4 linked regions of the Astyanax mexicanus genome follow. The protein of the gene in region 1 interacts with the protein of each later gene in a pairwise test. Links are inferred from orthologs where the notes say so. Each region holds a gene or a part of one and is shown on either strand. Other genes may lie near its edges. The genes, in order: enkd1, si:dkey-174m14.3, cdr2a and pdlim7.

Region 1 (7,726 bases):
TAATCTCTACACGGTAGTTGTCTACAGGTCTAGCTGTAACTAGAGCTTTGGCGAAAACATACTTTCTCTGAGTGAATTTAGAGTTTCTCTCCTCTCTCTGTCGGACATCTGAGTGTGTCCAGCAGGTGCAGACGGGTCAGGAGCGTTCCTCCGTCTCTCTTCTGCCTCTCTCCTCCACTGCTCCTTTCTTTCTTCCAGACTAAAACAAAGGAGAGAGAGAGGAAGAGAGAAGCAAAAATTAAAAAACATACCAATGACCAATCACACACACTGATATGGGCAGATACTGTAAATACTGTAATAAAGAGACAATGCTCCAATCATGCTTCTGGGTTTGTTTTAACTCTCAGTCAATATGTATGTTCTATGATCTGTGTTAAATATATTTGATATGATCACTCACTACTGGGGGACTCGGCCCTTCACTGCGCTCGGCGGCTGCTTGTTGTTCAGGTCCTGTAGAGACTGAGAGCGTTTCAGTGCGGTCTTTCTCGCAGCGCGTGCATTATGACTCACAAAGTCAACAAAGTGTCCTCTCACCTCCATCTACACCAGGAGATATCAGATATTCATTTTTAATAACATGAAAACACAGTTGTATACGAAATTAACTGCATTCGCTTCAGTTATAAGCAGTTTTCTATAAACAGTGTAAGTGTGTATGTTTATAGGAATGTGTGAGTTTACCTCTGGATCTGCTGTTTGAGGTTTTTGCCCGTTTTCAGAGGGTGATGCCGACACAGACTGAGGCCGACTAGGTTGAGGCCGACCCCCCGCCCCACACACAGAGTGAGCTCTTAGGAAGTTCTGGCATTCTGCCTTTTTGGGGTGGCTTTTTTCCTTCAGACAGAAGTACAGAAAGAGATAACACAAGCACACAAAGTTTATAAACTATACAATATACATTACTCTATTACTATACATTAATGCTGAACAACAATTCCATTCAATTCCATCCAAAAAAATGAAATACTTACTTGTAACTGGGCCATGACCCTGGAGGGGATGTCCTGGTATTTGGGAGAGCTCCACAGGGCTTTGACAGGAACCGGCTTTGCTCGCTCTTTCTGCGCCTCCTGCTCACGGAATCGTCTCTGGATCTCACGCAGCCGTCGCACGTTCTCTTTCCCATAATCCTGAGCTGCAGGTTCTGAGGAGAAAAATAAGAGAGAAAACTTAACATGTAACTTCTTTTGTGAAGCATTTTTTTCCTTTTTTTGAGTTTTTGTTGCACCTTAAATGCAGACACAGTTATATTAATATTCAGAGTAAAGGAAAATCAATCCATTTAATTTTTAGAATAAAAAATCCTTTTTAAAGTGATTTCTGATACTGAAGTTGTGTAAAAGTGTGAGAAGCACAGCCGATGTGTATGTTTTATTACATGTACACTGTTTTTTGTGTTATGGACTGAGCTAAACCTGAAATTGTAACTGAAATGTACCTTAATGAATTGATATTGAATCAAATAGGGATATTTTAAATCAGAATTGATGATTTACAGTGGATTTAGTAAATCAGTGGTGATCCCCAGCTTTAAATCTTACTGTGTTTAACAGGGGGGGGCTTCAGGCAGACTCCCTCCAGTTTAAGGAGAGCCCCCACCTCTCCTTTCTGGCTTCTTTCTAGAATGTGTTTGGCGTTTGGGCCGATGCGAGGAGGAGGATGAGCGGGGCGGGCGCTGTAACAGCCTGGATGCAGAGCAGGGTCTGGGGCTAAGGGTCCATTTAGAGTTAAAGATCCACTTTTAGAATTCCCCTCCAGACGACCCCGAGCTTCATAGACAGGAAACATTACAGTACATAACATTACATTAAGATAAGACACAAAGGAAATAAATGATTGATGAAAAAACTGATCACAGTCACCATCTGACATCAGTATGAACACAAATACAGTTTTAGAGATGTTTTATTATGGTGTTGTTTGGTGAAATAACTTCCAAATCCCTACCAGAAGTAGGTCGTCTGTAGTATTCGGGGAAGAGGGAGGGGTCTGGTGGAATGGGCCCAGAGATCATCGAAGGTCCTTCACACATGATTTCTCCAGTCCCTTAATTCCTAAACCAAGAGTTACAATGGTAGAAGAACATGATGAGGACGGTACCTAGAGAGCAGCGTCTGATCAACACCAGACTATAGGAGTTACAACACAAATATGTTTACAAGTAGAATAAAACTAAGATACCACTGTACAAAGTGAATACACACACACTTCAAAAACTAAAATCTGTTTAGTATGAGGGTATTTTTCTTCTAAATTTCATCTTGTGTTCAGTACCAGTCTGGACACAGGCTTTCTCTTTGAGTTCAGATCTGCAGACTCTTGTTTTTTTTAATCTCAGTATCTTCATGATTTAGAGTCACCTGGAATAGTTTTCTCAGCATCTTGAAGGAAGGAGTTCCTGGAGGTGCTGAACAATAGCTGCTGCTTTTCCTTCACGCTGTGAAGCTCCAGCTCATCCCAATTAAATCACCTCAAATCACCATCTCAGATCATCAGCTTTAGATCAGGAGATTAATGTGGAGGAATAACACTTTTTTACTCTTTACTACAGAGTTATATATATTAATCTCCAACATACATTCAAATTATTGAATAAATACATTTAATAAATAAAGAAAGACATTGAATAGTACTGTTTATAATATTTATCTAATATATTTATTATAACATATAACAATGCACTATACTTATATTCTCGGGGTTAATACGGTGTTAAATGTATATAGAATAGATATAATGTATATATAACAGATAAAAGCTAGCTGTGTGAGCGCTGTGCTAAACCGCGGGTCCGGATCAGAATTACTCAGCGGTGTATAAATTAACCCTGAACCCGGATAACAGTAGGGCTGATTAATAACAGGCTGATTAATAACAGGCTGATTAATAACAGGCTGATTAATAAAGTTACCTGTAATTTAAACGCGTTTTCGGTTCAGTCCGTTTTCAGCCCCGTAAACACACCGCCTGATGACGCAGCAAGCCGAGTCTATCTCCATGGCAACGGCTTAAAGACACAGCGCCGCTTTTCCCCCTCTTTAATAATTATTACATTTTTAAAACATTGTAACAGTTTTATTTGCATTAATTGCGATTAATAAATGTTGCTTAATGTTAAAAGCGGTAACATTAACAAAGATTAAAAACACAACAAAATAATAATAAAGAAATACTTTAATACGGAGCCCCTAAGGAGACATCATGTTAAAAATAATAATCAATTTATTTTTAAAAATGATGTAACATGATGTCACATTGTGGGCTCCATACATTTTCTTTATTTTAATATTATAATTTTATTAAATTGTAGATCATTGTAGAAAACTATCATCTAGGAACTAGGACAATTTTTTTAAGATAAAAGTAACGTTACAAAAAAAGCACCATATTAGAAAATACTCTCAGCAAAAGCGTAGGTAGGATATGTGGATAGGCTAAATCACTGTATAAAGTAAAGTCCAAAAGTGAATGTCATATACGTGATTAGAAACTATATATTTTTATTGTTTTACTGTTTATTTGTTTCTTTTTTCTTTAGGAATTCTAGGAATTATCGTGACATAAACATAAAACATTATAAACATTACCATATAAAAATGTTGCGGTAAAGAAGCACATATTGATAGGTAGCATAACTCGACAGAACATCGTTTATTCCTAATATCTACTCGGGATCGGATAGGCGGGAGAGTGAGAGGAGTGCGCATGCGCGGCGCGTCCTGCCCTCTCCGCCTGTTTCTCCTTCAGTGTGTCCTCCTCTCTCAGAACCGGAGTCCCGCAGCCCGGAGACCGGAGACCAGAGCACGGTAAGAGCCCGAGCAACACCCGCCCTGCGTCTGCAGAGGGTTTACTGTGCAGGCCTGCAAACAGACAGACAGAGAGATATAGAGAGACAGTCAGAGAGAAAGACAGGGACAGGAGGACAGGGAGACAGCAGGGCTCTTACCGAGGCCGCGCCACCGTTACAGCTCCCGTACTCCTGCCCCGTGCACTAACCGAGCTCAGCCCTGCAGCGCCTGCAGGTTCTCCGGTTCTCTGGTTCTCTGTGCGCGTGCTGGGTGTGCGTGTGAATGCTCACACTGCTTATTAAGCTTAATTATCTTATTTATTTTATTTATAGAGATTATTTGTGTAGTATAGTACACGATATCGCTGCTATAGTGTGAGATAAGAGGTTTATTCAGGGCCTGCCTATCTGCAGTCTCCTGTTTTATATTTGACAGCTGAGGTAATTTATTAATTTATTCGTATATAAAAGCTCAACTCCACAAAAACACGCAGTGATATTTATCTTTCTCTGCTCCTGTTTATTCTCTGATGTAACGGAGAGCAATTAAATAATCCCCCCCTCCTCCTCTCGCCTATTAGCCTATTGTGTGCATGCAGGACCGGTGTTGTGTCGATTTTTGCTACCTTGTCAAACCGTGCTACCCTAGTGTATATTTAACTGTACAAATACAAAATAAGCTTTATATTAGAGCATGTTCGCAGTGAAAGTCCCAGTAGATGTAGGTTAGTATATTTGTATAGCATTAATCACTGTATCATGGTAAAGTTAATTTAAAGGCAATGAGAGGTAATTTACAAAACTGCTTATGTATTTTTTATATATATATATTTTTTTATAATTATTAACTTCCTTTTACACCTTTGTGCAATAACAGTGAGTTCAGATTGTAACAGATTAATTGTAAAAAAACAAAAGCACGAGAAATAATTAAAACGCGCTGGTTAGCGCATGCGCAGTGCCTTTAGGAAGCACGTATCGACGGGTAGCATAAATCGACAGAACACCGGCCCTCTATGAAACAGCCCAGAGCTGCCTCTGATACTTTACTCACAGTAAACTGCAAAATAACGTATTATCTGAACGTTAGAATATATTTTACATATAAACTATATGTACATTATTTGGGTCTTTTTATTCTCTATAGCTACGGTACATGTTTCTTGTGAGCATGCGCATTACAGTGGGCTGTAAAAGAAGGACAGCAGAGCTGCTGTGTGTGTGTACAAGTGTGTTAGTGTGTAATGTGAATGTGAATATGTGGGTTCAGATGCAATTACTGTATATCAACAGCAGAAACCTTAATTTCACTGTTTCCAATACATTAGCATTAGCTTTTTTTGTATTGATCAGTATTGATTACGTTAGATACAGATATGCAATATAGATTAGGGCTGCAAAATATTGGAAAAAGGCAACTGCAGTATATTGTTAATCTCCTGTATAAATGGCAATATTAAAAATTAGGAATGCACAATGAACCAATACTGAATATTAAACCAATACTAATGTATTTATTATGTGCCAAAAAAGACCAAGAAACACTGGCCTGTTACAGCTACAACATCTCTCTGTAAATATATATGTTTATTGGCATCCGAAGAAATATACGTTTAATATCCGTTTTTTACAATTTGTACCCTGACATTAATGATTTCCTTTTTATTGACAAGTTGGGCACAATAAATGATTTAAAAATATTCTTAATCTTAATATAAGGGTATATTACCATTATTATGCTATTTTATATTATTGTGCAATTGGCATTAAATTGTCTTATCAAAAATATTGAAGAGATACATTTATTGTGACAGACCTAAAAGCAGTACAAATATTTATTTTATATCAATCAAGTTTCATTTTCCTTACACGCCATTGCATGCCCTGCATGTGACTATTGCATGCTTATAATATAATAATATAAGTAATTTATGTGATGGCTTCAGATGTATGATCAGAATCAACTTTGTATTTGTTGGATTTTTTTCTGTCACTCTGAAGGCATGGCTTTTCCACAGAAGAGGTAAATATTACAGGAGTTTGTTGTAGTTTCGTATTGTGGTTAGAGATGAGTGGTGTAGAACTGAACATGTGAATTTAATAGAAATGTGGGTGATGAGAAGTACAGTTATATTAGGGATTTATGTATGATATAATCTGAGTTTTATCAGAAGTAAAATATTTTACAAATATATGTTGGAAAAAGTAGCGGCACGTTTAGACATTGCTGTCATAAAACATATTAAGCAGGTACTGTATATACATCATTATACTAAATATTTTTTTATTATTATTAGTCCACAATTCCTAGTTCAGAGGAATTGGACTGATGCGCTGTAGTTAAATGCAGCATTTTTATTGTTTCCTAATAAAACTATAGAAACATATTATGACTAGGAGTCAGTTATATGGCCCTAATTCAGGCTCAGTGGTGTTTGTGTGTGTTTGTGTGTTTGATCAGGTTTCAGTAGTACGGTAGCAGTGGGTGTGTTATAGTAAATGTGATTGCTTAATATCTTTCTAATTCTGTAACGCTCTGACCTTATCCCCTCCCTCACACACACCACACACTACCCCTCACACACTACCCCTCACACACACCACACACTACCCCTCACACACTGCCCCTCACACACCAGCCCTCACAGGTCATTGTTAGACCAGCGTATATAAAGCTCTGCTGTACCTGAAGCAGGAGAATCATCACCCCTCAGTTTCAGCCTGTCAGCAGCTCTGATACTGAATTATTACTCAACACTAAAACCTGCTTCAGTTAAACTCAGAGTTCAGCAGATACAGATACTGATGTGTCAGCAGCTCACACTCCTCCTCCTTTACCCATAACACCTTCTTCTTCTGTCTCAGACTCAGACTGGAGCTTTACTCTCCTTTTATATCTATTAATATAATATAATATCTGTTCATTGGTAGATATCTGATACTGATCTGATATAGGATATAGAGATCAGGCTGATTGAGACTGGGGCTGTGACGGCTCTTTATCAGTCTTGTGCTGAGATGATCTCATCACTAGAGTATTAGTGTGTGATTCTGTCCTCCAGGTGGTGGATGTTATATTATTCATACTAATATCAGTATTAGTATTCGTATAGTATGTAATCTCGACTGAAATTAAGGTGTGTACAATTTATATAAATGTTGGCCATATCATCCTACAGGTGAGTGGGAGCAGGTCAGGTAAAGGAATCACTGTTTGATCAGTGTGTTGAGTGTAGAGGTGGGCGATATGGTCCTAAAATAATATCACAGTATTGGTATTTTTAGCGATAACGATACTCCTGGCGACTCTATGACAAAACACTGAAAAAAATATTTTAACAATACACTACTGCAACAGAATGAAAATTTAATTTTATTATTACATATGATATTATATGATATGATATGGCACACCCTTAACTGAGATATTAAAAAATACAAGAATTTTTTTTCAGATTTGTAACAGAAGTCGATGATCCAGAATATCATGATAATAATAATAATAATAATAATAATGCACTCCAAATATCTCCATATATCGTTCACCATATTAAAAACTGTTGGTGATATTATTGTGTATGATATGATATGGAACCCCCGTAGTTGAGTGTAGGGCAGGATGTGTGAAAGAGCAGAGATAAATTCTTCAGTTTTGTAAGCTCTTCTCTCCGTCACATGGAGACTGGTGTCAGATTTACCCCACTATTTATAGAGTGGGGGTTTAGGGAGTTGGGGGGGATATATGTGTGTGTGTGTGTGTGTGTGTGTGTGTGTGTGTGACACAAGGCTGAAAAGCTGTGCTCTCCTGAGGGCAGAAGGCCGACCCTTTGGACCAGAACCCTAATCATGAGAAGATGTTTGAGTGGGGTCTCAGTATGTTGTTCTCGGTGTAGGGGTTCTGGGGGGAGGAGCAGAAGATGACCCTCGGTTTTC
Region 2 (7,308 bases), on another chromosome or scaffold:
CCATTACAGAAATAGTGCAGTTTATAGTGTCAGCTGTTTTATTGTGTTGCTTGAAATCTCACTGAAATTTCACTGCCTATTTAGTTCACGATTCCTGAGAGGGACCTAGACCTATAATTGAAACACACACACACACACGCATAGACACACAAACGAGGTGCTGCAAGATGCCAGGTTTGTACACAAAGTACACAGATATGCAAAAGATAGCAAGACAAACAAAACCAATTCAGATTTATACTTACATTACTGGCTTTCAGTAGTCTAGACATTCATTACCTAACAACTATATCTATATTTCATTATATAACAACACATCCAGTCAAGTAACAGAAGTGTTGATCTAGAAAAAAACAAACATGATGAAGTGCCCAGTTAGGCAATCAGTATTGGATTGAATGTGATGAAGACTATTTAACCCTATATGGTTCACGCTGTGCAATATATATATTTTTTTCTGCCCCTGCCATTTAAACTGTCCACCACTAGAGAGAGAGGTTAGTTATGCTCTTCGGGACTCCGAGCCACAAATGGCTGTGGCATCACCAGGGACTGAACCTGTGATTTTCACAGAGCCAACACCTAGATGCCTTCAATTTAAAAGAGTTGCACTGCCGGCGTCTCTGTAGATGCTCTAGTGTCCATTCTACTGTAAACCCCCCTGGAATAAAAGAGCTTGAGAGCTTCTCTTCGTTCACTGTGAGTGGGGGAAAAAGCATCCTCCAGCTCAGTCGTCGCCAATTATCCCCTCTTCTCCTGCGTAGTAGGAATCAATTCCTCATCCACAGGCTCTCCAGGGGCCTTTCTCCTCATCGTCTTCCTGTCAGTGGCGAGGAGGCTAAACTGGCCCCCAGCTCCTCCAGAGAAACAGAGCAGATTATTAAAAACATTTATCATCGCAGAATGTTTAAACCGTCCACTTTATTACTAGGTGGACATGTTCAGGAGACCGCAGGGTCCACTCCGGTCTCGGCTCCGACAACAAACGGCAATCAGAATGAGTCTGCGGGGTGGTTTGTTTATTAGCAAGAGAGGCATAAACAGCCCGGCAGCGAGGGGCGCTGTAGAGCCTGCTCCTCCAGGAGTTGCTATATTTAGCTTCAGAAACTTCAAGCAGGCTTTGATTAGAGCTCGGGGTGCTTTATCTCGGCACAGTGCCGAGCTGCGTGAGCAAGCTGTGCCAACAGCTAGCATGTGTTAGCATTTGCCTCAGGCTAACGTGCTAACATATCTCAGACTATTTTTAGATACGCAACTCCAATAAAAAGGGTTCAACCTACATCACGGGACATTATATATCAAAAGTGATGAAATAACATGGCCATGCTATTCTAAAGGAAAACAAACCATTAATTTATGCAAACTAAGCTGCAAAAACAGCATTTTTTAAATCACTGTTTCTCAGCTGTCAGCCTACCAAGGTTTAGACCCTTCTATTACATTTTAGCACATTAATCGTATATAGTAAAGCACATTTAGGTTTATAATAGAGAAAGCTCTGAAGCAATCATCTAACCTACACATCAACCCAAATTTAAAATACAACCTACTGTACCTAAACCTAAACTCAAACCTAATGTACACCTCAACCTAAAACTAAACTTAACCTACACCTTAGCCTAACAATATAACCTTAATATATACCTTAAACTAAAGCTAAACTTAACCTACAACACAACCTAACACATATTTGGTTCTACCACATTTAGCTCAACCCATTTATATTACAGTTCTCAGGAAAGTTAAAGCTTTGGAGTTATTTTTAATACTCATTATCAGATTCAATACCACGTCATCTGTCAAACTTGGTGGAGGGTCAAAAGCAGTTTATGGGTCAAAGCACATATTGGGTGATTTATTTCAAACAGAAGCAAAATGTTATTTATAAATGTACAAAATACTAAATATAATGATAAAGGACAGGATGTGACATAAAAGTCTCAGCATTTACCTTCTAAAATATCTCACATTACATTTTTTTTTACATAAAATTAATCAAATCCATTGAAGAGACTGATAAAAAATTCTTATAATCTTATCTTATTTTACATGATAAATATTACATATACAGTGGTATGATAAGGTTTGGGCACCCTGATCATTTTCATGATTTTTCTTTATAAATCATTGGTTGTTCAGATCGGCAATTAAAGTTAAATATATCTTATAACAGATGAACACAGTGATATTTGAGATGTGAAATGAAGTTTATAGGTTTTACAGAAAAAGTGCAATAATCATTTAAACATAATTAGGCAGGTGCATAAATTTGGGCAGCCTTGTCGTTTTATTGATTTGAACACATTTAGCACTAATTATTGGAACACAAAATTAGTTTGGTAAGAGAAAGGGTTAAACCAACTGCTTTTTTTTTTCAAGTTTCTCTTCTCTTTGCATCTTTTATTGAAGAGTGGCAACATGGGAGCCTCAAAACAATTCTCAAATATCCCGAAAACAAAGATTGTTCAACATCTTGGCTTAGGGGAGAATACAAAAAGCAGATGTCAGTTTCCACTGTGAGGAACATAGTGAGGAAATGGAAGATTACAGGCACAGTTCTAGTTAAGACCCGAAGTGGCAGACCAAGAAAAATCTCAGATAATCAGTGGAAAAGGATGGTAAGAACAGTCATAGTCAACCCACAGACCAGCTCCAAAAACCTACAACATCATATTGCTGCAGATGGAGTCACTGTGCATCGTTCAGTTATTCAGTGAATTTTAAACAAGGAGGCTGTATAGGAGGAATGCAGAAGAAGCCTTTTCTGAGCACACGCCACAAACACACAGCATTCCAAGACGAACACTTGCTAGCCACAGTAAAATTTGGTGGCGGTTCCATCATGCAGTGGGACTGTGTGGCCAGTGCAGGTACTGGGAATCTTGTTAAAGTTGAGGGTCGAAATAATTATTGAAATAATTATTGCACACTTTTTGTAAATCCTATAAACTTAATTTCACTTCTCAAATATCATTATGTTCATCTACTATATGATTTATATTCAACTGAAATTGTTGATCTGAAAAACCAACCAAACCTGAATTAGAGAGGAAAATCAAGATAATTATCAATAGTGCCCAAACTTCTTCGTACCACTGTATCAATTTTGTTTTTGTACATTTCAGAGATTTTCAGAAAAATCTGCTGTGTAAATAAAAGTTCAGCCTGCATTACCAGCCTGCTGCTCTCAGCACTGGTGCCGAATCTGATCGCTCCCAGCAATCAGGCTTTGTGTTTTATCTGCGATCAATCCTCACAGCAGGATGCACTGACCTGGAAAGCGTCTGAAAAAGAGAACACAGGCAGAGCTGCCATCAATAGACGGCCTAATTAAAGCCATAACTCTTGAAAACACTCTCACTGATGACCTGGCAAGTCTCAGTTTTACATGGGTTTAGCCTCATTAGCTCTTCTTTGTGGGTCACATGCTTTGATTTGGGGGGGTTCTCTGAAGTGTTCCCTCACTCGGCAGAACGGTGGGACTGCGGGGTGTTGGAAACACAGTCACACCGAGCACGCTAACGGTGTGAGCACGAATCAACTCACATGCAGGGTCACTCTCTGAAGCACTGACCGTAACTGCAGGCTGACTTGTGCTGATTTTAATCAATCTCCAGCACACACAAAAAAAGGTGTACAATAATGGAACCAATTCTCTTGCTGTATAGAACCACTTTGAAAAAAGTCATTTGAAGTAATGTAAAAGAGAACTGCTGAATTGTTAAGATACAATTTTAACAATTCTAAATATGGAACTGTTATGGCTTAACTAAATGGTATTCTACTATGGATACAATTGAGCCTTTCCATTAAATAACCATATACACTCTCCTCAAAAAGTATTGGAACAGTGAGGCCACAATACTTAGTTGCATAAAATTTGTTTGCAATAACTGCATCAATGTTTGACCTATTGCCATAGTTAAACTTTCGTGTTCTTCTTTTGTGATGTTTTTCAGGCTTCTGCTGCAGCCTTTTTTTAGGTGGTGTTTGTGACTGTATCAACCATTTCTTTGTTTTGGGAAAAATCTGTCATTTTACTTTACTGTTGTATATTATTTTATTTTACATGTCCTAATGAATGAAGTATACATTTTTACTATATTTTTTAAGGGGAAATATTATAGTTATTTTTAAAGGTTTTATCAGAAAAGATGTACCAGATGTATCAGGTATTGTTTTATTGCTTTTATTGTTGTTACTTTTAAGAAATTATGCCTGGCATAACATAATTCTTATCTTATAACAGTTTAACAATTGTTATTATTATCATTATTTTTATTATTATTATTATTAGTCAGCATCTCAATTCTTCTGAATACATAAAAGCAGAAAGGAATGGCCCAGCCTGATGCCAGGCAGAGACCACTTATCCTACATATTGAACGTTGTGGTGTTTTTGGGACACATTGGGGTTGAACAGTTTAAAATCAGTACTGCGCAGCCATTAGTGTCCAAGCCATTTGTGTCCCAGCCTTCGATGCATCCACTCCAGTTGTGCAGGACAGCAGCATGCTGACCAGCAGCTTCTACACCGAGATTCGGAGAACATCATGGAGCTCCACCACCACCTCCTCTACTTCCTCCTCCTCTGTTCATCCTCAGCCTCTCCACAAAGGTCCAGCATGGCCTCCAGTGTCCTTCAGCAGCTCCTCCAGCGCCTCCTCCAGCAGTGTGGGCTCCAGCAGCAGCTGGGACACCGTGGGTTCAGACGCTTCCAGCGTCCAGCAGCTTCTGCCCAGAGACAGAAAAGTGGAGCACAGCGAGGATGTCCAGCAGCACTGGCCGAGCTACAGAACAGCTTCATGTGGGTCTGAGGGAAGCAGCGACCAGCAGGGGGCTGCACTGAGCTGGAAGCAGGGCCAGAGGGGCTCTGTCCTAGGACTGACCACTGGACAGGAATTGGCTCTAATGGGCGGGTCGCTGCAGCGGCTAGAGCTAAAAATCGAAGCCAAATTGAAGTTCTCCCAGTTCCTGGACGAGGTGAGCCACCAAGTGCTAAAGCCCACCAGCTTAACGGCCTTTAACTGCCGCAGAAGGTCCAGCTCAACAGACTCCACCTACGTCCGACTGCAGGCCCCACGGGACCAGCCAGAGAACAGGTCTCAGCAGGTCAGCATGCAGGAGACAGTGGGCAAAACATACCTGGAGACAGACATTGACAGTGTGTTTAAGGGCGAAGAGCTGAAGGAGGTGAAGGTCAAAAAGGAGACGGCCATAACGTTTGAAAGTAAAGATGCGAAAGATGGTCCAGCCTCTCCAGAGTCCAGTTCTGGATCCTACCAGAGTTTACGGAGCTTCACCAAGAGCACGCCCAGAGCTGTTGCCTCACCCAGAAGCATCCACAAGGTGGGTTTACAAATAGAAGGCCTTCTTTAGAACACCCACATGTTTTTAAAGTGATAGTTTTGTTTAAAAAATTATATTTAAATATCATAGTCCACACAGATATAATGGATCAAATGTTTTTTGAATTGCTTGATTAGATTTTGGTAGTGTTGACTATAGTCACTTTCAGAAGCAACTTTAGGAGGTCCATAAGCCCACATTACATTTTTTGTTCATAACAAATGTTAATGTAAATGCATGTTTGATTTAGTTTGTTTTTTGTGAGTGACATGAACACACTGCAGTGATCACTATAGCCTCTGACACCAGCATGGCAAAAACCAAGCTGAGCAAATAATTGTGTCCTAGAAAGTAGAACGTTCTTGTTAGATGTCTAAATGTTTAAGGCATGTTTTGGGCAAGGTATCACTTTTTCAGCTAATTTTCCTTTGGTGCTATGAGTAAACGTGCATATGTGTTATCCTGTGTGTTTGTGTGTGTGTTTGTGTGTGTGTGTGTGTGTGTTTGTTTGTGTTAGAGTAGTAAACAGTGCAGGCTGGCCTGACTCATCCACTGCTCCTGAATCAGACTGTTATCAGCAGGAGCTTCTGCATTACTCTTTCCCTCTCTCTCTTTCTCTCTCTCACCCTCTCTCTCTCTGTTTCCTCTTGCTTTCCCTCTCTCTCCCTCTTTTCTCTCTCTACTTTTTCCTTTCTCTTCTATCTCTCTTTCTGCCATGCCTCATTTCCCTGCCTCACACTGTTAAACAGGCTTATAGAAACCACACTGCAGCAGACTAGCTTTGCACAGTGCCACTTAGGCCCATGCACACTCAGTTTTCTGATGGGGGTGGAGGGGGGGGCAACCTGAAATAGTGACAGTAATGCAAATTATACTTGCATTTATTTATGCAATTGCAAACAATCTTGTGACACCCTAGTTGTGTTTCAGAGGAGAGCAAATATAGTGATACGAGATACTGAAGGCAGTCTAAACTACACTTTAGACTTTAAACTCAGTCACATTGCTTAGTCCCAAACCCTGCATTAAGACGTTTTCCTGTCTGTTTTTTTTATATGCAGCTCATGTAATTCATGTGAATCCACTAGATAGTTAGTGGAGACTTGCCAGAGCTGGAGCCATACTCACTTACTTTGTTAGACCCACCTCTTGCTTCCAGAACAAGTGTGTTTCAGCCTTATTGAGCTTACAGTACAGAAGCAAAGCAGTACTTAGTGCTTACGACTTACAAAATCACTTCATGTTTTTAAATTTTAATTAATTTATTATGGATACTTTCAAACTTCTTGAAAATTAATCTCCTTGAGTATTCTTTATTCTGTACTAATTTAATCAAAATAAAGCTAATCAGCATACACAAACTCCATATCTTCAAAAAACAACTGATGCTCTCAATCACATTAAGAGGACAAGAAATTTAGGTAATTGTTAACTCTTAAAAAGGTACAGCTGTTAACTGAAAGTCATTCTAGGTGACTACCACATAAAGATACAATGCCTAGATATGCAAAGCTGTCATCTAAGCAAGAGGTGCTTACTTTAAAAAAATCTTGATTGTAAAACATATTCTTGTTTGTTTAACACTTTTTTTTTACTAAATAATTAATAGTTTGGATGTCTTTAGTATTCCTCTACACTGCAGAATTTTAAAATAATGAACAAACACAAAATTTAAAGTGTGTCCAAACTTTTTGTTCCACTGCAACTCACTACATGTAATGGACAGAAAAGCCGTGATGCAGGTCCGGCAGATGTGCCAATATAGCACAAGGCGTGCTTCTTGGTATAAGTATATTAAACAGATGTGGCACTGCTAGTAAAATATTGAAGCATTGACATTTGACATTTGGCACTTCTAGGGGTAGCTCCCAGTCTTGGACTACACAGGTTTTTAAATGTAGATTTCCCATTGAAAGGAAAATAAAGTCTATGACTAGACTGAAAACTCAACCCTAGTGT
Region 3 (7,299 bases), on another chromosome or scaffold:
ATTCATTTTTGCCAGATAATCTAAATAACTTTAATTAAGAACTCTTTGACCAACCAATTTGACCATTTCAGAGTTCTTCCTGGAACATTTCCGATGAGCCTACCAAACTAATCTTGTGTTCCAACAATTAGTGCCAAAGGTATTCAAATCAATACAATGACAAGAGCGCCCAAATTTATGCACCTGCCTAAGAGTGTTTTAATAATTATTGCACACCTTCTGTAAATCCTATAAACTTAATTTCATGTTCATCTGCTTTATGATACATTTAACTAAAATTGCTGATCCAAACAATCAATGATTTATAAAGAAAAATCATGATAATGATCAGGGGTGGTCAAACTTTCATACTACTGTAATTTGGATGGGCTTCATTCCATTCATCAGCATGTCATATTTTGCTGATTAACCTGGTTAGGCTGATCAACCAGTTTAACCAGCTTCATCAGTTTAAGACTGCCTTTTTTAGGAGGGGCATTGCTGTTGTGATGCATGCTACGTGAGAACACAGATAAGTAATAATACAACAAGTATGCCAATTCTGTGAAACAAGTGAGGCTAAAAGATGCAAAGGAGCTTCTGTATGGGACGTAGTTGTTTATATACAGCTTTGGAAAAAAAATAAGAAACCACTTCTGAATCAATGTCTCTGATTTTGCTATTTATAGGTATATGTTTGAGTAAAACGAACATTGGTGTTTTATTCTATAAACTTCGGACAACATTTCTCCTAAATTCCAAATAAAAAATATTGTCATTTACAGCATTTGTTTGAAGAAAATTAGAAATGGCTTAAGTAACAAAAAAGATGCAGAGCTTTCAGACCTCAAATAATGCAAGAAAACAAGTTCATATTCATAAAGTTTTAAGCTTTCAGAAATCAATATTTGGTGGACATAATAACTCTGTTTTCATGCATCTTGGCATGTTCTCCTCCACCAGTCTTACACATTTCTTTTGCTTTTGGATAACTTTATGCGAGAAAAAAAAAATTAAGCAGTTCAGTTTGGTTTGATGGCTTGTGATCATTCATCTTCCTCTTGATTATATTCCAGAGGTTTTCAATTTGAAAAATTAAAGAAACTCATAACTTTTAAGTGGTCTCTTATTTTTTTCCAGAGATGTATATGCATACATGTGGCTTGCAAAACCCCCCTTTAGGGGTACGTACAGAGCTCATACAGTAACGTTACAGCTCTATAGATACACTGGTATTGAGGATATCTCATTATTTGTTTAGGGTCCACAGTGTGCAGGAGCCCTCACCTGAGACTGGTGGAAGGCTGATTCAGATATCCTGTATTTGTTTAGGAAGAGTTTCACGTAGTAGAAGCTGAAGATGCTGTTCATCATGCTGGACCCGAGAGTGGTCATTGAATAGGCCACCGCAGCTGGATGCGCAGAGAGCCTGAAGAGCTTCATGATGTGAATTTGTCTATGATCATCTACAGATTAAAACATTCATAACACACACAATTCACTGTCTGACAGCGAGCTCGGCTAAACTGCTGCCTGGACCTGGATAAACCTTTTTCCGTGTGTACGGAAGAGGCGGATTCCATGTGTACTGGGCGTGTGTCAATCGGAAACAGGCTGAAGGCAGCCTAACGAGTGTGCATACTTGTGCCCTAATAAGCAGTGAATGCTAGTCGAAGCTAATTAACAAACTGCATATTGTATTCTTGCACACTGAGCTAAATCAATTAACTTAACTATAATAAACCTGTCTAGTTACATCTGTTACTAGAGATATTTTTTCCGAACCTTAAAGCCTGATTTAAACATTTAGCCAGTTAGCCTATGTTAAACTTAATAGCTTACTAGCTAGTATCTAGTATTTAGCATTAGCCTGTTTAGCCTGAGTTATCCCTATAAGCTTACCAGCAATAGTTAGTCTTTCTTTGCCTGAATTATACATTTTAATTAGAATTTGGGGGATAATCATTATCTGGGATAATGATTTTAGCCAGTTAACCTGTCACAGCCTTTTAGCCAGAGTTGGTCCGTTTTAGTGTGCATTAAACCTGTTAACCTAGGTTAGCCAGGGTAATCTTTTCCACAACTGAGTTTCAACTTTCAACAGCATGTTTTAACTAAAATGAACTAGATAATCTTTAGAGCAAGAATTGGTTTGTTATATTTATTTTACATTTAGGTCAGTGTTTGTCTGTTTTAGCTAAACCTTTTTAGAGTTAGAGTTAAATCTGGTAACTCAGTTAGTATTAGTCTGTTTAGCCTGGGTTAACCCTATTAGCTAGCTATCTAGGTTATAGTTAGCCTGCCTATGCCTGAGTTAAACATGTTAATCTGTTTTAGGTTTATCAAACACTTTATCCAGTAAGTCAGATTGAATAATTTGGGTGTTTGTTCGTTGATCTGAAATTATTAAGTGGAGTAGAGAGTGGACAGGCAACTGAAAGTTTTTCAGTATGGAAACAGGATTTTAAATAACTTATTAAACTGCAGAAAAATGGGGTTTTGTGTCACCTACCTACCTGTGGCCCATATATGCCAAACGCCTACCTTTCTGAGCCCTATTTGCTAGATTGAACCTGTTTCAGCCTTACATCTGTATATAAACCAACCAAAAAGCAAAATATGGGCCTAGTTTAAACATGATAACATGGTCACAGTGCCATCATCAGATGTTTGACAAAGTCTTTGTAGAGCTTTTAGATGAGACTCGTGTGACTCACAGGTTTACATTGTCAGGCATGTGACCATTAGTTTATACTGTGATTAATGTTTATTTTAGTGTGTGTGTGTGTGTGTGTGTGTGTGTGTGTGTGTGTGTGTGTGTGTGTGTGTGCGCACTGATGTTTGTACACTTTGTACACAGATATTGTACGAAAAATGTTTGACACATACGACACACTTTGCATGTTTTTGTATTGCCTTCTTTTAGGGCTATTTTCCATCTGCTACAACTGTGTGATGGGAGTGATAAGAAACACCTTGCTTTTTATATTGCCATCAGTGTTAATCATCTAGAGGAGGTGTGTTTTCTCTCCCCGAGATAGTCCAACATAGTTTGGTGATTTGTCTGCTCAAACACAGCTGGTTCCACCTAACCGTTAGCTGCCAGGTTCAGTAGTTGGTGTGTTTGAGCAGGAAAGTCACTAAACTTTGCTGGACAGCAGTCCTCCAGGATGGGGATCAAATAGGTTACAGTGTTTACACAGCTTGTGTGAGATGCGACACAGAAGTGTCAGTGTATCAAGAGAGATGAAAAAAGGAAAACAATTATTTTATATTGTATGCTTATAGTTTTATATTGTTGTAAACAAACATTCTCAAGCAAACCTGATACATTTGGCTTCGAATACAATAATTAATCATAATTATTTATGAAAAAAATCTCAGTAAGAATGTAGTTGCAGTCTTGTAAATAGTGACCCTGCAAAATCTCCAGACTTTGCAATATCTTAGCCTGTGACTAGTCTATGACTAAAAAGTCTGTGACTTGTCTTTAGACGTGAGAGGGTGTCTACGAAGCCCCTAAGGTGACATCATGTTGAAAGAACTTATTAGAGCATGGGAATGAGATCCTAATACGTGGTCACATCTTATTCAGGGGTGGGAACAAGATCCTAATGTGTGGGAATAAGATAATTAAGGCATGTGAATTAGATTAATAAGTCGTGGCCATGACTTATTAAGCTGTGGGAACAAAATAATTAGGTCATAGCCAGAAAATAATGAAGCTTGCTTTTCTAGAATTTAGCTTTTGTTTTAGAAGCTTGCTTTTTAATCTAGAATCATGCCATGTCTCAGTGCAAGAGACTCCAAAATATCGCCAAAATTCATTTCAAGAGGAAAATAAAAAGAAACCAATTCACTCTCCATCTTCTTACAAATGATGATCCTTGAATTAGAGATTTGATGTAACATTCAGTCGTCTTCATTAGCATTAATTTAGGGAAAAGCAAACTTTATTATTCTCTGGCTCCAACTTAATCTTATTCCCACACCTTAATTATCTTGTTCCCACGTATTAGGTTCTCATGATGTTAGTCTTTTTAAAGTCGTCTAGTGTATAGTTAGCTTAACCCTCCAGCCTAACAAGAATCAGGACACCATACCCCTAGACGTGCACGCGTAAAAAAACAGAGGGGTAGGGCAAAGAGGAAGGGCCGATGAGTGAAATGGGATTGGGCCTTTGTGTGTAGGCAGCATTGTTGATCTGTTTAGGACATACCCATTTCCTTCCGCCCCGCCCTCTTTCTCCTGATTGGTCAGTGACGGTGTCAATCAAGCGGCCGGGCTCGGTGTTATGGTGCGGATTGTCCCGCCCCCTGTTGCTGCCGCCGCTGCTTCAGTAGTGAGGGCTGTGAATTTGCCACGTTGCTGTTGATGCGGAGAAGCGAGTAGCGGAGCGGCAGCCGGTGGAGGAGGAGGTGGAAGAAGAGGGAAATGTAGCGTCCAGACAAAGAGAGCAGCTGTATGAAGACTTCCAGAACTTGAAACTAATACTCGGTGTGTCGGAGAGAGACCCCCTAAAACCCAGCCAGCATGCTGACCGATATGATAGTGGAGGAGGGATTTGAACACAATGAAGAGGAGCTGTGGTACAGCAGGAAGGACCTGGAGCAGGGTGAGGCTGGGAATGCCAGTGTTTTAGCTAATGTTTATATCTGTTTTATTAACTAAATTAGTTTATTTCTGTTCTGAAACGGAAGTTGGTATTGTTGGAATTGACCGTTCCACCTTAAAAGTAACATGACGAGACGTGTGAGCTTCTGTAACTGCTGCACTATTTAAGGTGGAAAGGTGGAAATATTGTTGGTTTATTGAGATGTTAATGTTAATTTCATGTCTCTATCCAATATCCAAAGACTCTCTCACTGTGTTCTACATCACAGTAACGGTGCTTTGCTGTTGGCTTCCCCCTAAAGCTACGGCATAGTTGTGTCAGCTGAAGGTCACGCCCATAGAGGCCCTTTTAAAGCTTCATTGACTTCACTGCTGCAGTGACTGCTGATGCAAGTGGACCAGCATTGTTGGCCCCTCACTCTTTTAAATAAAGGAGAACCACTTTTGTTTCCAAAAGGCTCAATTTTGTAAAAGAGGTTTGTGTGAATGACATTTTACAGACTTAAAAAATAGTCAATTTATGTGTTCCCCACCAATTCACACTGACGGATCCTATACAAAAATGGTTCTTCTATGGCGTTGCAAAAAAAAATATATATATATACTAAATTTCCTTAGAAAATAATTCAGTTAACCAATCACTGGTTCAAAGTACCTTTCTTTCTATCTAGGCAAATATATATATCAAGTAGCCACAGATTCATCTAAACAATGCACAAAAACTAAGGCAATTTGTATTTGGTTGATTCTTTTTTGTTGGACCAATGCTTCTTGGCTATACATCTTGTACAGTTAAAAAGCCTGTAATTTTATCTTTTTAAATGTTGTCACATTGGTAAGAAACATGCATTTGTTGGATAAGCACTAGAGCACAGTATCTTCTCTGCCATTGCCAAACTTATTCTGCTCATTCTGCTGTTGTTATTGCCACTTGTTTTGTGCTTCTGCTATTCCCAGATTAGCATTGGCCCTGCTAAAGTGGCCAATGGATGACTGCTTCATCGATTGGCATGCAACTTCAAGCTGTTGTGCCACAAAACAAGTTCCATATAATGGAGCGATGTCTGAGACGTGCCACAAAGACGACATCCCAAAAAGATCATCAAGCACAGAACAAGTCAATGGCAGAATGAGCTGTTTGTCATTGTCGGAGGGTAGCTGGTGATTTTTCATGGGAATGACTCACTTACTCAGCTCTGCTGCACATCTCACAAATGCATGTTTCTTACAAATAAAGGAGAAGGGGAAAATAAAGTTTTCGCTACATACACTATATTGCCAAGTTTATTTGTTCACCTGCCTTGCATTTTATGCACTCTTTACTGAAATGTTCAGTTTGTCAGTGTTATTTAAGCACTGACAATATTCACAAAATGTTACACAGTATTTTGTATATCACAATACAGTAAAATATCACATTACCCTCCCCTGGCCTAATGATATTGATGTTTTCTTTTGGAACAAATAGCATGGGTTATTCAATTTGATATGTTTTTTGACAGCCATTTGTATGTTAACGGGTTGCCTTCAAGCGTCCTTCACCAAGACCATATGAAGCAGGCTACTTACGTCTAAAGCAGTCCTTGTAACTAGCTCTTGGATAGATAAGTCTCTTATGACTCATACCTCGAGACTGTCCGGCCTCTGGCTGACAGGATATTCTGTCGTGCTGTGCTTAATGTTTACTGTTCGTGTGTGTGTGTGTGTGTTTCTCTGAGGCAGATTTACATTTGGCCGCACAGCTGGGCAAGACACTCCTGGACCGGAACCATGAGCTTGAACAGGGCCTTCAGCAGATGTACTCCACCAACCAGGAGCAGCTGCAGGAGATCGAGGTTACATTTCCCCTCCAGCTATGTTCTGAAGTTTTTACACTGTTTCTTGGCAGGGATAAGGGGCCCATGTACCTCCACAAGATATGAGCTGAGAATTAAGCTTTTTTAAAAAAAAAATAAATAAATAAAAAGAGGATTAGGATAAAAACTATTTGCTGTTTTGAAGCACTTAGTAATTATACCAATCGGTTTCTGCAGCACAGCACTTTTCTTAAGCCCAAAGACGTTCTGCATCAACAAAAGCATATATAGTTCTGCAGCAGGCAGCGAGAGGACTGAAATGTGTACCAGTAAAGTTGGCACAAGAAAATCTAAGTAATAAGTAGTGGAAAAGTCATTGGACAATAGCTGTAATAGCTGAGAAGCATCCCAGCCAATTTACTCTAGTGGTGGGCTTTGGAAACAATATAGAGTCCTAAATTTAGAGTCACTTTGCTCTGTGATGTAGAGTAATTGACTCTCATGTGTAAACAAAAAAAGCTGTGGTGAATACTGACTGTATACTGGTTGTGAGCAGAGGAACCATCCAAGTCATGGATTACAGCATCTTCATTGGCTAGACAAGAAAACTGACCTGATATGTGCTTTAGAGTCACTCTGGTGGCGTGTTAAAAAAACTTCCAAGCTATGAAATAGAATTGCTTCAGCAGTGGGTCGAGGACAACCTACATGCCACAGGGTAGAGTAACACTGCTGGTGAAGCAAGGAACCTTCCATGTTGTAAAGTAGTGTTAACACTCTACCATCTATTCTAGTGGTGTTATCATACCATATTTTTCGCACTATAAGGTGCACAGTATTATAAGGTGTACTATCAATGAACATCTATTTTCATACATGAGTGCATCGGGTTATAAGGTGCATTTTGCTT
Region 4 (7,941 bases), on another chromosome or scaffold:
TTGGAGAATGGCAGGGTTCACATGGGCATGGCAAGTATAGGTTGCAGTTTCCTAGTCAAACCTCTTCTCAGTACTCTCTCCTTCTTTCTGGTAGCAATACATAATAAGCAGGACTGAAGCCTTCCAACACTCCAACACTTAAACATGAAATCAAGAATCTACAAGAGTTAGTGTTAGTGACAAAACAGAAGAACCACATGTGTAGCACGTGTGTTACACTAGAGCACTATTAGTTTATCGTGATCTTTGAAATCTTTGATTTTATCAAATTGAAAACCTCTGGAATATAATCAAGAGGAAGATGGATGATCACAAACCATCAAACCACCAAACTGAACTGTGTGGAGAGTGGTGTAAGTGGTGCAGTGTGTAAGACTGGTGGAGGAGAACATGATGCCAAGATAAAGCATGAAAACTGTGACTAAAAAACAGGGTTATTCCATCAAATATTGATTTCTGAACTCTTCCTAAATTAATATGAACTTGTTTTCTTTGCATTATTTGAGGTCTGAAAGCTCTGCATCTTTTTTGTTATTTTAGCCATTTCTCATTTTCTGCAAATAAATGCTCTAAATGAGAATATTTTTATTTGGAATTTTGGGAGAAATTTTGTCTTTAGACTTATATTGGTGTGCTGCACCACATCAACCACTAATACCAAATTAATAACCAATTTACATCCCATTTGTGTCAAATGATTTGGAATTTAGACCCAAATTAAAAGGTTTCTCTCAGCCTGATAAAACTCACTCAAACATCTTTAATGTGTTGGAATTTAGACAAATGGACAACTTATTCTTTCTATTTTAAAAACTATTTAGAGGCTATTTTATTGCGTTTAAATGTGTTTAATTGCATTACTGCCCTACACATCTAATTACGTCTATTTGGGATTCAGACTAAATTTAAAATGGGGGTTTTCTCAGGCCGAGAGAAACTAAAACCTCCCTGATGAGTTTAAAATAGTTAAAATAGAGTTATCCCCTCATTCTTACACAATCAAACCTCCTTAATGTGTTAAAATTGGGATTTATAGACTACTCATTCTGTCAAGTTGGGTGCATACCAAAAGTAAAATGCATTTTTATCAATTTAGCATGCTTTTTATGCTAAATATGTGTATTTTTGGGATAAAGGCCTTTTCACAGGCTGACAAAACTGAAACCTCTCTAATGGGTAAAAAGTACATAAGGTCAGTCTTCTAAAAACTAAGTATGTGCCTATTTAAGTTAAGTTTTAGACTCAATCTAACACAACTCAAACCCCCTGAATGTGTTTAAGTGCATTAAGTCACTGCCCAATACATCCAATTAGTGTCTATTTGGGATTTAGACCAGATGAAAAAGCTTGTCTCAGGCTGAGAGAAACTCAAACCTTCCTAAAAACTAATGGGGGTCGTGTAATGACATGTTGGCTGCCAAGAATAATGACAATGAAGCGTAATTAAGGGTAATGACCACTTCCCGAGAGGTTCAACAGCACTGCAGCAGCCACAGTGTAAACTGCTGCATGAGCAGCTGTATGAATGAATGAAACTGTTAATGAATAGCTTGAAAGCTGTTATTATTTTTTATTTTTTTTAAGTTTTGTGGGTAGAGAAGCCTGAAAGAAGAGCATAAAGCAGATAGAAATACAGTAGGAAAGTTTAAAGCTAAATTGTAGTGCTGTAGTAATACTACTAAAAGTCTTGGTCTTGAATCAAATTAAACAACTTTAAATCCTAGAATCAACTAGTAAAAATCTTGGTCTAGATTCGCATCTGATGCGTCCCCGTCTCAGTATTGACTCAGACTGAATACTCAAAGCCTCAGTCTTGGTTCAAACTTAACTATTCAAAGTCTTGGTCTTGACTTGATTTAAATTACTAAAAGTATTGTGCTTGACTAAAATTAAACTCCTAAAACCCTTAGTCTTGACTTGATTTAAATTACTAAAAGTATTGTTCTTGACTAAAATTAAACTCCTAAAAGAGTCTTGAATCGGGCTTTTAGTTTCCCAGTTTTGTTTCAAACTCTAAAACTATAGAAAGTCTTGGTCCTGACTCAGATCTGATGTGTACTGGTCTCAGTCTTGAATTTGAATCGACAACTCAAAATCTTGGTCTTGACTCAGACTCTACAACCATGAGTCTTGGTCTAGACCCAGACTATACAACCTTGAGTCTTGGTCTAGACCCAGACTATACAACCTTGAGTCTTGGTCTAGACCCAGACTATACAACCTTGAGTCTTGGTCTAGACTCACACTCTATACCATGAGTGTCGGTCTAGGCTCAGACTCTACAACCATGAGTCTAGGTCTAGATTCAGAGACTAATTACTCAAAGACTCAGTCTTGACTCAAATTCAACTACTCAAAGTCTCGGTCTTGAATTAAACTACAAAAAAAATCCTGGTCTTGACTGAAGAATAAACTAGTAAAAATCTTGGTTGTGACCCACATCTGATATGTCGCGTTCTTGACTAAAATTAAACTACTAAAAGGCTCAGTTTTGACTAAATTGAAACTAGCAAAAGCTTTGTTTGTGACTAAAATTAAACTACTCAAAGCCTCAGTCTTGAATCAGGCTTTTTGTGTCCCAGTTTTGTTCTTGACTCAAACTCGGCTATAGAAAGTCTTGGTCTTCACTCAGACGTGATAACAGTTACTGAAGTCTTTGTGTTGACTCGGATCGGATGTGTTTTGAGTATAAAACTATGTTTCTGGCAGTTGTTGATAAATAAATCTGTAGGTTAGTGATTGTCCGCAGTGTTAGTGTTGTTAAAGCTGTTTTAAACTCCGCTCTGAGTGTTATGGTTTTCTGGTTCAGTAAGAATCTGCAGCGCTGGTGATGAATTACCTCCTTGGTGTCTCCGGACATGGTGATCAGGCTCCGGGCGGGCGGCGGGTGGAGGCTGTAGGGTAGCGGGGCTGGAGCTGTAGTGTAGCCGGGTTCAGGCTGTAGTTCAGCGGGGTGGAGGTTCGGGTAACTCCGCTCAGCAGCGCGCGCTCTCCCTCTACCACCACTTTTAGCAGGACTCACCGATACGTCATCCACCACGTGTGCGCGTGACGCGGCGCTCTCCGCTTGCCGTTATTTTTTTCCCCACCGGTTTTCCGACATGTCCCGCCCCTGCGGGCCTCTGACTGGCCTTGACGGTTGATAGCCTAGCTCTCTGATTGGTTAAAAGTTTGTACTCAGCGTTCACTACAATGCTATCTGTTTAGATAATATTTATCATTAATTTAAGATACTAATACATTATTTTTTAGATGATATTTCCTTATTTCGAGATACAAAAAAAATGTTTTGATTAGCTAGTATCTCATTATTTTACTATCTTTAGATATCTCATTATTTCGAGATACTAATGTATTGTTTTGAGATAAATTCTCTTTTTTTTAGATGCTATGGCATTATTTTGAGAAAGTAATTCATTATTTTTAGAAGCTATCTCACTAGTTTAGATGCTATCTCATTTTTTTGGAATATTAAATTATGTTTAGATATTAGGCTATTATTTTTATATATACTAAGTCATTTGAAGATGATTTTCTTACATAATGACAAATATCTTAAAATAGGGACTTTTATCAGTGCCACAAGTAGAATCATTTTTTGTTCCATAAATAATCATTTTTGTTGTATAAAAAAGTTTATATTAGTTATTAATCTTAACATTCACTTATTTAAACCTTTAAATATGAAACCTTTAACTTATACTTATTTTACTTATTTGCTTCACTTTTTTCACTGTGCAACTATGTGCAATATATACACGGCAGTACAACAGTTATATATTAACTGTCACACCACACTCATATTTCTTTTGTAAATATGGCTCTTTATAGAATTAAACATTCTTAATTGACAATATTTTATGTGTAAAACCAAAGCTGATTTTTTTCCTTAAATTAGTCCATTTAGGATTTAAAATAAGAACTCAATCCTCCCCAGTGTGCTGAAAGAGTGTGAGGGCTGATAGCCTCGCACTCTTATTGGCTAAAAAGTTTGCAGAGGCGTGGCTTTGCGTAAACGGGTGGGTAAAAAAACAAGGTGTGTCGTGCACCTTTATACTGTGAACTTCTAAGCCACACTTATACACGTATTACACACATACAGTCACGTAGTGAATCAGGAAACCCCACGAAAACCTGTCTTTTAATATATAAACCTTTTTCACAATACTAATTAATTGGCACAATAAACACATAACAGAGAAGGTAAATAATTTTATCAAAAGTATTTAAAATGAATTTCTAAAAATGAATGAATAAAATAAAACAAAACCCCCCATTTTGTAAATTGCTTCTGTATTTTTATTTAAATTGGCCTCAATTACAGAATTAATTAAGTAAAAAGTAGTTTTAAAAGTGAATGCACCTACAATGCAAGCACATGTAAAAAAGGTTAAAAAAATTCCCAGATTTTTTTTTTCCTTTTTTTGTGTTCCCCATACACTATACACTTTATGCTGAGGTTTATCTGTTCCCTACACACACTCTACAGACCAAACAGAACAAAAGTATAAACAAAAGTATTTTCCTAATGCCGTCCATTTTCACCTGACAAAAAAAAAAAAAAAAAAACACTTGAACGCATGTCGTAATTACGAACTCCAACCTCGAAAGTAGGAATTTACGAGGAGGACTTGAAGGCAGCATGAACCCGCTGATTTTGGCTGATTCAAAAATGCTAAAAAAAAATGGTAGGGGTAGTTTGGGAGGGGCACTGCAGTGATGTATGGGTTTAGGGGCGGGGCAGAAGGAAGAGGTAATTGGGCTGAGCAGTGAGCAGTGTGCCTCTGGACGTCACCAGGGGGGCGATATTATCATACTTGCCTTTAGCAAAGTTAAATATAAGAAGGTGCTGTAGATGTCGAAATGACTGCAATAAAGAACATTTAGGAAATGTTTAATCAGGAATGACATGTTTAATTACTTCAGAGTAACACATTTTAATTTTTAATAAATAAATAAAAACCGTGGTTTAGGGTTTAGTGCCTCTTTAAAGCATAGTGATAAACTCCTAATAATAACAATAAAGGTTGTGGTGAGTGTGTTTACCACTAGTTAAGTACTGTATGTGTGTTCAGTCTGTTCCAGCAGATGGAGACACAACACCATACAATCAGCCCCAGCGTTAGAGTTATACTCTCCTCTCTGAGTTCTGACCTCGGCTCTCCTCCACGTCCCTGTTTTTACTGCTTTTCTGGGACGAAAGGGACGAATTAACCTCCAGCTGACCTGGTTTAAGAGTCCGGCTCGATTCAGGAGATAAACCAACTCTTTTTTCAACATATTTATTTAACTTGTTTTTCCTGCGTTTAAACCTGAACAAAGCCACAGCTGGAGCCTAAGAGAGCCCGGCCGAGGTCTGAGGAATAAAGCAGGTGTTTTCGCCGCGGTGAAGATGGCCGACGACTTCGGCTTCTCCAGCTTCTCCAACGGCGCCGAGGCTGAGGAGGACCCGGCCGCGGCCTTCCTGGCGCAGCAGCAGAGCGAGATCGCCGGCATCGAGAGCGAGGCGGACGGCCTGGGGCCGAGCGGAGGCACGTCGTCTGTCTGGGTGATAGCGTGTTAGCCTGTTAGCTTAGCTTAGCTTGTTAACATTAGAGTCTACACAGATAAAAAGAGTCTGGACAAGGCGATACAGTTAATTTAACAAGGTATAATAAAGCGAAAACAGGATTTTAACGTTTTAACACCAACAAGACACACATTGGCTCCTTAAAAGCGCTTAAAAAATACAAAACAATTAACCAATTTCTAAACAAGCTAGCAAGCTAATGCTAACGCTAAACAGCATCCAGCTGTTCAAATCAAGAGTCAAGTCAAGAGGCTTTTATTGTCATTACATCTGAGTACAGGTACACAGTGTGATGAAATTACGTTCCTCCGGAACCATGGTGCAACATAGAACCACAAGCAATAGACAACATAAAGTGTAGGAGTGACGACAGTGCAACATAAAATTATAAAATTATAACACTAAATAACAATAAATACAATAAATACAAAAGACGAGACAATTTAAAGTCAGGACAGTGCAGTACCGATACGGTATAATAAAGTGTATAGTGAGGATAAGGTGCAGAGATGTGTGACATACTGTAACATATAGAACATATATAATCACAGCAGTTACTGAGGTAGAGTTTATAGTTTTTAAGAGTGCAGCAAATAAAGTCATGTCAGCCTCTGTGTGCTGACTGGGTGTGTGTGTGGGTGAAGTTCAGTTCTTTGTGAGTGTAAAGGGGGGGGGGGGGGGGGTGTACAGTTTAGTTTTGTGCGAGTGTGTTGGGTGAGTGGTGGGTGGGGTGGGGGTTCAGTTCTGTCTCTGTGCGTTGAGAAGTCTGACTGCCTGGTGGATGAAGCTGTTGCAGAGTGAGTTAGCAGTAAATTATTAGTTTGATACCTTGGATACAAATGTAATTTATAAAAATTGTGACGTTCTCTCCTTTTAATACTGCTTCTCTATTTATTTTTCTATTTATTGTAAATTTATGAACACTTTATTTTGTTCTGAGCTGTGATTTTAATAAAAAGGATTCGTTAATCTTGATTAATCTTGAAAATATTGCACACAAGTGTGTATAAACTAATGGGATATATACATCTCTGAAAAAAATTTAGAGAGCACCTCAGTTACTGAATCAGTTTGTCTTATTTTGCTATGTGTAGGTTTATGTTTGAATAAAATGGACATTGTTTTATTCTATAAACTACAGACAACATTTCTCCCAAATTACAAATTAACTTATTGTCATTCAGAGCATTTATTTACAGAAAATGAGAAATGGCTGAAATAACAAAAAATAAGCAAAGCTTTCAGGCCTTTCATATTTATAATCATAAAGTTTAAAGAAAATCAGAAATCAATAATCCTGGTCTTAATCACAGTTTTACACACTGCTTTTGAATAACTTTATGCCACTCTTGTTGCAAAAATTCAAGCAGTTCAATTTGGTTTCCTTTTGATTATATTCCAGAGGTTTTCAATTTGCTAAAAATCAAAGAAACTCGTCTCAATTTTTTTTCCAGAGCTGTAGAGAAAACATTTTTAGGTTTAGTGAAGACAATGGAAATGACAGTTTCCATTAAACTCCAATTAAGGTGGAATATACTAAGTGTATCTTTAGTGGTGGTAGTGGTAGGTTCTGGTAGATTCCAATGCTGTGAGCGTTTCTCTACCTGGTTAGTTAACTAGTATATTACATCTTTACTGTTAAACTTTTGGTAACATAATTACTGTAAGATTCTGGTAGGTTCTAATGTAATGATCATTTAGGGTAATACATCTGGACTGTCAACGTCCCTGGTAGAATATCCGCTGGTGTATTCCACTAGGTTTCAGTGTTTTCAGCACTTTTTATATAAGGTATATTAACACTACTTACTGTAGTACACCTGAGCTTTTAAACTTCTGTTAAAATAACGTCTGTTGCCACCTCACCGAATGAGCAAGCTGATCATTCATCTCTGGTTTACATATAGGACTCAGTAACAGTCATATAGCCGGGCAGGTTTTACAGCATTCCTCTTCTACTAGTAGTTCTTCTGAGAGGAAATACGAAAAGCGTTGCTCAACAAGACCAGAACTCACAGGATTTTACAGTCTGTCTCTCTTCTTTTCTTAAATCAGATGCGTTTGGAGAAGCACCTGCTGCAGCAGTAAACGGAGACATGTTTGAGGTGTGTTTTTATGGTGTCATTTACTTTTTTTTAATTAAATGGAATATTGGATAAGGTAGATAATTTGTATGTTGTAGGCTGTTGTGCTGTAAGTGTGTAGTTTGTGTGTGGTTACTCAGTATAAATCAGTATACTCTGTATAAATCTACAATGTTTACAATGTGACCACCATAGATGGTCAATATATGTTTTCTAATGCTGTTTTATGAATGGTTTAGGACTCGAATGGAGTAACAGACAGCTATGCAGCCATCGCCCAGGTCGACC

What was found.
Region 2: the proteins of enkd1 (region 1) and si:dkey-174m14.3 interact in binary tests that used the Homo sapiens proteins (3 or more experiments, as listed by UniProt). The two-hybrid records come from large-scale screens. The link is inferred for Astyanax mexicanus from reciprocal best matches to the Homo sapiens genes ENKD1 and BEGAIN.
Region 3: the proteins of enkd1 (region 1) and cdr2a interact in binary tests that used the Homo sapiens proteins (3 or more experiments, as listed by UniProt). The two-hybrid records come from large-scale screens. The link is inferred for Astyanax mexicanus from reciprocal best matches to the Homo sapiens genes ENKD1 and CDR2.
Region 4: the proteins of enkd1 (region 1) and pdlim7 interact in binary tests that used the Homo sapiens proteins (3 or more experiments, as listed by UniProt). The two-hybrid records come from large-scale screens. The link is inferred for Astyanax mexicanus from reciprocal best matches to the Homo sapiens genes ENKD1 and PDLIM7.

The regions. Positions count from the first base shown.
Region 1 is NC_064419.1:252,792-260,517, reverse strand, and holds the start of enkd1 (enkurin domain-containing protein 1), read right to left. Parts: upstream 3,003-7,726; 5' UTR 2,918-3,002; intron 2,503-2,917; exon of another isoform or gene 2,367-2,502; intron 2,061-2,366; 5' UTR 2,039-2,060; coding exon 1,954-2,038; intron 1,776-1,953; coding exon 1,548-1,775; intron 1,151-1,547; coding exon 978-1,150; intron 841-977; coding exon 688-840; intron 547-687; coding exon 404-546; intron 200-403; coding exon 63-199; intron 1-62. Other genes in the region: vdac3 (voltage-dependent anion-selective channel protein 3), read left to right, coding at 3,712-3,812. UniProt on the Homo sapiens protein: Microtubule-binding protein which regulates microtubule organization and stability. Promotes the stability of astral microtubules and facilitates the proper orientation of the mitotic spindle.
Region 2 is NC_064408.1:87,188,812-87,196,119, forward strand, and holds the start of si:dkey-174m14.3 (brain-enriched guanylate kinase-associated protein), read left to right. Parts: upstream 1-4,286; 5' UTR 4,287-4,512; coding exon 4,513-5,349; intron 5,350-7,308. UniProt on the Homo sapiens protein: May sustain the structure of the postsynaptic density (PSD).
Region 3 is NC_064410.1:7,015,557-7,022,855, forward strand, and holds the start of cdr2a (cerebellar degeneration-related protein 2), read left to right. Parts: upstream 1-4,298; 5' UTR 4,299-4,512; coding exon 4,513-4,594; intron 4,595-6,315; coding exon 6,316-6,428; intron 6,429-7,299. Other genes in the region: mfsd13al (transmembrane protein 180-like), read right to left, coding at 1,267-1,422.
Region 4 is NC_064426.1:2,414,582-2,422,522, reverse strand, and holds the start of pdlim7 (PDZ and LIM domain protein 7), read right to left. Parts: upstream 3,013-7,941; 5' UTR 2,861-3,012; coding exon 2,840-2,860; intron 1-2,839. Other genes in the region: cltb (clathrin light chain B), read left to right, coding at 5,393-5,531, 7,625-7,674, 7,893-7,941. UniProt on the Homo sapiens protein: May function as a scaffold on which the coordinated assembly of proteins can occur. May play a role as an adapter that, via its PDZ domain, localizes LIM-binding proteins to actin filaments of both skeletal muscle and nonmuscle tissues.